2 linked regions of the Bombyx mori genome follow. The protein of the gene in region 1 purifies or fractionates together with the protein of each later gene. This does not show direct contact. Links are inferred from orthologs where the notes say so. Each region holds a gene or a part of one and is shown on either strand. Other genes may lie near its edges. The genes, in order: chromatin complexes subunit BAP18 and nucleosome-remodeling factor subunit NURF301.

Region 1 (4,567 bases):
ATGTGTCTAGCAAAAATCAGATTTTTTTGTTTTACATACTCGATGCCTCCAATGAAAACTACTCTAACTCAAAATTTTGAAATTGTCGTTTTTCACGCAAATCGCTTCACTAGGTTAAAAGTATTACAATTAATGATTATTGGTGGGGTTCGAAGCAAGAGTAAATCAGCTAGTTACACAAAAAAACCATAAATATATCTGCAATAATACAGATTTTAACAACTTTTTTCGTTTAAACGCTCCTCCTGTAAATCTACGAATTTGGAGTTAGCGTAGTGTTCATTGGAGGCATCGGATTACAGTTTTTGCAGTATTGTGATCGCTTCTTCGTAGTTCGTAGCTTCGCTTATATATGTGTAGATATTTGGTGATATATGGTTTACCAAAAGTTGAAACTTTATGCTGTCCCATTTTTCTGGCGGAGGAACCAACTGTGCATCTGTTTCTGGAGCGGTCGGCTTCTGCACGAAAATGAAGTTTTCGAAAGTTTTCGAAAGTTTTACGCCAGTGTATCCAAGCTCTCGTACTAGAGCTATCTGACGGGTCGATATCAAACCTTTCAGGGCGGAGATATCTATCCATTTTTTTATTTATTTAGCTTATTAAATTGTAATAAGAGAAAACCTTTACTGAATATAAGGTTTTAATAAGCTAAAATTAACAGTAAAATTTGCTTTGATTACATTAGATACATTGACAAATAACTAATAAAACAGATTGACAATGACGTCAACTTATGGCTGATAATTTCAACTAAGAAGCTTACATCAGTTAGTCACCGTGGAAGCTTCTAGCAGTTCTCGAATGTTCTTGACACATTCTTCAGCTTATTTTTAACTGTTGCCCGGGTTAAAGTTACCCATATTAGCACAAATATTCACACAACGAATTAAAATCAAGACAAGCACGTATACAACTATATAGATTATATAGATTTTTTATGAAACTACATCTGCAACATTTACTTATTATAAAAAGTACAAACTTACCTTTGAAACTTTTGAGTACGAATATAAAAAACTTTGCAGCGATGTTTCATTTGTCACACCCCTACCATTTCACAATCGAACTCAAGAAAGAAAAATTTTGCTGACAAATATCAAATTTTGGCGCGCTTTCTTCGTTCAATAATAAACCTCTTAATTAAAAATTTCAAAGTCTATAGTAAAATGAATCTAGTTTGGAAATAAAACAATAGATATGTAAAAAGTGAGTAAGTGGGCTCATGTTACACGGAAAGCTTAAGTTACCCAGGACGTTTCTCTGCCTTCGTAAGGACTTGTTGGCGGGAATGCGAGGAGTGAAGTTGTGTGATTTGTTTTATTTTGTTTAATTAGTGTTTATTCAGATTTAAATGTCTAAAAACGGTGGTTTACTAACTGTTTAGTATCTGCGAAAGTGCACAAATGTGGGAAAATGAAACTAAGCCGCTGAACGTAAACTATTGGGATACTTTAAAAAGTCCACTGAAAAAGTCTTAGTAAATGACCACCATTTTACTGAGATTATACTTCATCCCATATCATCTCATCTCATTTCATTTCGTTTTCATTTCATTTCATGCCATGTTTCATATTAGTCAACTTCATTTCATTTCTATCATTATTCATTTATAAAAGCTATCATTAAAATTAAAATAAGACTTGACCCAAAGGTCTTAGTTATCAGGTCATAAAAAGTCTTACAAAAAATCTTCCTTCATAATTTTGGACATATATTATGTGTCTAATGTCTATTCCATAGATTATACACTTAATATCTAATCTATGATTTTGGATTTTGGTTATATGTAGTTTGGCATTAAGCATTTTTTTGCAATAAATTATCAAAAAATGAATAATTCTGCAGCTAAAGTAAGTATTTTGATGTCTGGGTTAACGGAATTATCGTATTAGATGAGTGGACTACAAACGTTAAAATAATTATAGGTTGGGGAAATTTTTAGAGAGGCGGGAACTGCATTCAATAAATTATCAGAGATGACAATGCTTCTTCATCCCATGGGAGATTCGCAGCCGGGGTGAGTAAATCATTTTTAAAATTGAAAGCTTATACCAGGATTGCATAAATAAAAAATATCAAGTTTTACTCCGAAAATGATCATAATAATTATATCGTTTTCTTTTAAACCCTCCTCGACCAAACTGTATCGTGTCAGTTTGAAAAAATTGTAATATTTTTTTCTTTAAAAAATCAACAGGCTCTCCACATCGCACACCACCAAATTACAAATTGTTGATTACTTGTAGATGATCGATATCAGTTCATTTACACCATCTATAACTGAATCAATTGCAACCATAATTATTGTACAAATTCATTATTATAATTCTTTTCTTTGGACTATGGTACAATTATAGTCTGAAACTTCTATAAAAATATTTAGAATTTAATTATGCCTAGGTATTTACTACCTTGTCTATACATGTCTATGTCATGCTTTCAAGAAAAGTGGGACCTAAACCTAAACCTGGAGCTGGAGCCTGGTGGGGGCTGAACCTGTTTTATAATAACATTCATGAGTAAATTCCACAATGAAGGAATAACATAAAGTATAAAAAGAAAACCCACCAAAAAAAAAAAGTGTGTGTGTCCGCTCCGACGCACGACTGGAGTTTACTGGATATAAAAAATTAAACGAAACAATACGAGAAATAGTTCTATATTACGACAACACGATACACTACAGATTATTAACAAATTAACGAGACACAAAACAAACGACTAACAAATATATGAAAATACAATAATGAGAGAAACGCGCGATCAGTACGAGGCTTTGTGGCGGACTGCCGGCGCAGCAGCCCGGCGTCACCTGCGATAACGCATTTCGTGTGACATGCGCAATCAGGCGCATAACGCATTTCGTGTGACATGCTAGTACGATTTTGGTCCCCATAATTTTCATACCCCGGGCCTATATATGTAAATCGATTCTAAAGGAGTAAACTCCAATAAAATTTTAATAATTACTGGTGGTAGAGCATCTTGTGAGCCCGTGTGGGTTAGTACCAGCATTAGCACTGCCAGACACAGCCTATTTCTGCCCTGAAGCAGTCGACTGTTTCGGTTTGTAAGGTGGGGTACGGACTGTTTTATAACATAAACAGATACTTTCAAACATATTTCTAACAATAGGTGGTGAAATTTTCATTGTTGATGTCTTAACCAAGGTCGGTAATCACCTAGCACCAGGTGGGCTGTCAGATCATCAATTTATCTAAACAAAAAAATATTTACAACCAATGGATTCCTAAATATTGACTTATGCTGTACAGAACAATGCTGACTTACAGATTCAAAAAAATGCTTTGAATTGAATTTGCATCATTGCACTTTCCCTTTAAAAAGTACAATCTGAGGTTAGCTAATAGGTTGGTGATATCATCAACAAGATTGAATGTTTAGGTCCATAAATTTTGGTTAATTTTTCAGAGGACTTTATCTTATTCATGGGAAATTGTGCTACAGCCCATAGGGCCATTAAAAAAATACAATTGTTTTAAATTATGATTTGTAGGAAATCACAAACCAAGATACTGGTAACAAAAATTTAACAAAAAATTTAAAACTCAAATTTGATGGCCATTAAGATGTTAGACATTATTAATCATTAATATATGTTATCACAATAAAACAATTTCAAAAGGTGTTTCATCTGGACTAAGAATTCTATTACTAGGTGTATACTTAGTACCTAGAACTACCAAGTACACTACCAAGTACTAAACCTCAGTAACGTAAGCATTACACATGTATATGTACTGTATAGTAATCATACCATTAGCCTTTTTCTAGTAACTCCTTCATTTTAACAATAAAGAACAATTAATTATTTCAAATCTTGCTACATTTGGTGAGGTAAATGCTCAACTTACAGCAAAATATGTTCTGGTTATAGTCTTATAAAGCTCTATTTAGATGGGCCTTTTTTTAAATAAACAGTTATCTGAATATATTCATCATAATTTCAGAGGTAAATGGACTGAAGAAGAAATAGAAATGCTGCGCAATTGTGTACATAGATTTGCAGTAGACCTGAATAAACTCAGTCAACACATTAAGAATAGGACAGTGTAAGTCACTCATATTCAATTTGTATACACTCCATAGTTAATTTCACAATCATGCTCTATATTTACACCAAAAAAACGCAAATAAGAGGGATAGCTCATTATTTTTGTCATTGGTCATTTAGCACAATTTAAAATATCATAAATAATTTTCAAATCTGTAGGCAGTTAATAACATAAATATCCTGTCGTTCTAGAAATCAAATTCGATCAACGTTGAAGAAGAAAGCTTTTGAAGACGCAGGTATACCTGTGAGACAGGTAAGCGGCACAACAGGAAATATGGGTCAGCCACAATCCCAGGTAGCATCCCCACTGGCTGCCATCATCCCGCAGTCAGTGATAGGAAACAATGCCGAGGTTCAGAAATTCACTAATTACACAAAAATGGCACAGTCACTTATCTATCACATATATAAGAAGATAGCTTGTTCCTGCCAGTATAGTGGATGCTTATTGCAATTTTATGCACTGGTTTTATAGTCAATGGCATT
Region 2 (3,835 bases), on another chromosome or scaffold:
TGAGCACTTACTTTTTTACAGTTCCAATACATTATGATGATCACTGTAGAGTGTGTCATCGCTTGGGTGACCTTCTGTGCTGTGAAACCTGCCCTGCTGTATATCATTTAGAGTGTGTGGATCCTCCTTTACTTGATGTACCTTCTGAAGACTGGCAGTGTGCTTTGTGTAAGCAGCATAAGACTGTTGGTGTAACTGATTGTCTTCCTGATGCTGAGAAGCAAGGTCTATTATGCCGTCATGAACATTTGGGATTTGATAGACAGGGCAGAAAATACTGGTTCATTGCAAGGAGAATATTCGTGTAAGCAAAATAAACAGAAAAGACTTTTACTTTTTGTATTGTATTGTCCACTCCCAACTGTCTATAATTGCATTAACATTTCATTTATCAAATTATATAAAAATGGGAACATTTAGTAGAATAGATTCTATAATTCTTCTTCTAATTTTGGATATGACATGTTATTGTATATTAATATAAATAAATAAGAATTTCACATTTTATAATTCCGAGTTGCGATTTTTTCATCTGTTATTAGTACTGGAAATAAATAAAAAGTCGAATTTTTCATGAAAACAAATTTTGGCCAGTAATCTAGGTACCTGTTCTATAATAGTGACAAGTCATTAAACTCTTGACTTAAAAAGTGGTTGCTAGATAAAATGTATAACTTATTCATATACGAAACTGACAATCAATGGGAACCAGTAATCACCTTAGATGCAATATCAACAATGAAAACATTATAGAAAGCATTTGGCTCTTGATAATGTTACTTTTTATTTATTCTTTTTTCCACATCATATATAAATTACAGTTGAAAGTTCTCTAAGATACTTTGTTCAGCTAAAACTATGTTTATCATCAATTGTACAATTGTATTATTTTTGCATTTATTTATCTATTCTTAGTCTTGGAACTCTTGAGAATAGAAAATGAAATTCTACTAGGAAAACTTTATTCCAACTAATAACCACTGTTACAAAAAAACTTCACTAACAATGGGGGCGTGTAGAGGTTTTTAATAATTGCATTAAACTTTTTCCAGTGAGTCTGAGAATGGTCAAGTATGGTACTACAGTACTCCTCAACAGTTTGAAGAATTGTTGAATGTTCTCGACTCGGAAGAAATGGAAACACCATTAGTTCGTGAACTATTAGAAATGAGGCAAGAAATTTTAAGGCAAATGGACATAACAGAGAGTCTAACTAACCAAATGAAAGGAAATCGGAAATCATACTTAGAAGCTGAAAAAACAAATGTCATCAAACAAAAAAAAAATAGGTCTGAACACAAGCACCAAGACAATAATCCACAATTAAAAGTGGATGGAAAAATTGATAACCTACCCACAATGGATAGTGATGTGTTAAATGAAGTGACTATTATGAGTGAGGATTCTCAAGATAATAATGATATAGAACAGGAAGAGTCAACAGATGAGGATGATGACAAAAAGAGTATTAACCAGTTAATATGTAAATCTAAAAATATAATTAAAAAAAAATCAGAAGAAGGTAAAAGAAATCAGACATGAATATATACAGGGTGTGAGTGAACTAAAAATGATTCTGGCAGGTTTTCATAAAAATTCTCCTGAAGTTTTATATTCTATTTATTTTGCCATATTGCTTATGAGATAGATTAATGAAGTGATTATTTAAAAAGACAATTAACGAGTCAATTGCCTAACAATGAAGCATTTACATTATGTTATTCTGTTTGGCTTGCTTGTATTGTTTTCATTATGATGAATTTCTGGTGTATAGTTCATATTTGGGACAGTCTCCCTTACACCCTGTATAAATTTATATTGATAAATTTGATGATTTTTCTATAATTAAAAACTTAAAATGTATTTTTCAGTTTCTGAACGATTAACAAGGCAGAAATCTAATCAAATGTCAAATGGAACATATTTATTCAAATTAGGAAATGAAAATAATTTTAAGACCTACATTAACCAGTATGCAAGCAATTCTCTGGCTTTAAATAAACCTCAAAGAAACGAGGAAAGGGACAAAAAACGCTATATGTCACATAAGTTTTCTCTATCTTCTACTCAAGAGTTCAAATGGGTTGGTCTTCTGAATGGTATGTACTAAAAAAAAATTCATTCTAACTGGCTTTAAAAAAAAATTTATGTCCCATTTTAATACAAACATTTTTTCATTGTAGCAACAAAACCATTCTTGGTTGCAACTTTGAGACAGACTCTGCTGCAGTTAGAATCTAATATTGTGCTACAGTTTATGCATCCAAATTGGTCTTTATTGAGAAAACCATGGGTACAAGCAGTCCAACTTTGTCAAGCACCACGTGACTTCTCAAGGGCATTGTGTGTGCTACAGGTAAAATTTAGATATTTCAACTTGCAAAAAAAAAAAAAATCATTCATTGCAAAATAAATAATCATATGCCACAGTTGTAATTTAACCAGTATCACATAAGGTCCACCAATGTTCATAGTTCAAACTGGTATAGTTAAATATGTATAGTAATTTCATTCATTAATGGCACTTTTAATATGATTAATGGCATAGAAAAATAGTCTTAAATTTGTGATGTAATATTTATTAATTTCTTGTAATTACAGGCTTGCATTAAAAATGTTGTATGGGTACCGGCATGGCATGAACAGCTGGGTCATGTTAGGCTTATACGCACGACTGCTGCTGAGCGTGAAGAACGAAAAAAACTAGATAAAAGAGAGAAAAAAGAGAGAGATGAAGAAGAAGAGCGTTATCGCACCGCCTACAATTTCGTAAAATATTCTCTTGGTCTTCGTCATCAGGTATTTAATGAAATATTTATTTTCGAGAATTCTATATATCTATAGATATATAGGCGAGATGCCGCTTATCTATTTCAACTGATTTCTTTTATTTTTAATAATGTCTTATTATTTAGTGGTAATATTAACTCTAAACTCATGAGCTTGTTTGAGAATATTTAATGTATAATATTTTATACATCAATGGCACTATTAAGCTAATGGAAGCTACTAAAAATTAAAAAAAGTGGAAAGCTTGACTGAAATAGAAATATTGTCCTTTCAATATTGCCATAAACTGACAATGCAATACTAATAACATTACCACGCAACTCAAATTATCTTACTTTTCAGCAGAAATAAAACATCGGAACATCTCCAAAATCTTATGCTATAATAGCATCATATGTCTGATAAAATTTTCAGACATATTTAAATTTAAGTATCTTGTCTCCTGAATTTAAGCAAATATGACTGCGATATTGTTACTAAACGAAATCTATAATGCATAATGATATGTAAAACTTTCACACGTTTTTCTATTTATATAACGAGTGAACGAGAGGTGTCAGTCAAGTGGTGACCAAAGCCCATAGACATCAACGATTTAAATTCCGCCACCCACCTTGAGACATGATTTCTAAGTCCCCATTTTTACAGTACAACGCCACCCTTCAAACCGAAACGTATTACTGCTTTATAGCAGAATTAGGCAGGGTACCTACCCGTACGGACTCGCAAGACACCCTAGCGCCAGTCAGCACCACCAGGAAGTAAACGTAGTAATATTGGTCATACGATTTGAGTCCGGACACTGAAAATATCGTTTTCATTAAACTCTGTTGGCACGTGAACAATAACTTCGATCGTGAGCTAGTACATCTATCTAAGTAAATATATTTTATTTTAATTAACACCATACCTATCTAAGTAAATATATTTTATTTTAATTAACACCATTTCTTATCTTTTATGGATAATAATGTTACGGAAAATGCTTATAATAATATTACGGAATCTTGCGTTAACTTAATTCAAGAACTGTCAGAATTATAGT

Evidence for each region.
Region 2: the proteins of chromatin complexes subunit BAP18 (region 1) and nucleosome-remodeling factor subunit NURF301 purify together in Homo sapiens (affinity purification with mass spectrometry; 5 studies listed by BioGRID and IntAct, with this or other methods). This does not show direct contact. The link is inferred for Bombyx mori from reciprocal best matches to the Homo sapiens genes BACC1 and BPTF.

What each region holds. Positions count from the first base shown.
Region 1 is NC_085107.1:17,443,336-17,447,902, forward strand, and holds the start of chromatin complexes subunit BAP18, read left to right. Parts: upstream 1-1,707; 5' UTR 1,708-1,832; coding exon 1,833-1,853; intron 1,854-1,928; coding exon 1,929-2,020; intron 2,021-3,974; coding exon 3,975-4,076; intron 4,077-4,270; coding exon 4,271-4,433; intron 4,434-4,567. UniProt on the Homo sapiens protein: Component of chromatin complexes such as the MLL1/MLL and NURF complexes.
Region 2 is NC_085116.1:8,928,313-8,932,147, reverse strand, and holds part of nucleosome-remodeling factor subunit NURF301, read left to right. Parts: intron 1-21; coding exon 22-304; intron 305-1,052; coding exon 1,053-1,522; intron 1,523-1,871; coding exon 1,872-2,099; intron 2,100-2,183; coding exon 2,184-2,356; intron 2,357-2,601; coding exon 2,602-2,799; intron 2,800-3,835. UniProt on the Homo sapiens protein: Regulatory subunit of the ATP-dependent NURF-1 and NURF-5 ISWI chromatin remodeling complexes, which form ordered nucleosome arrays on chromatin and facilitate access to DNA during DNA-templated processes such as DNA replication, transcription, and repair.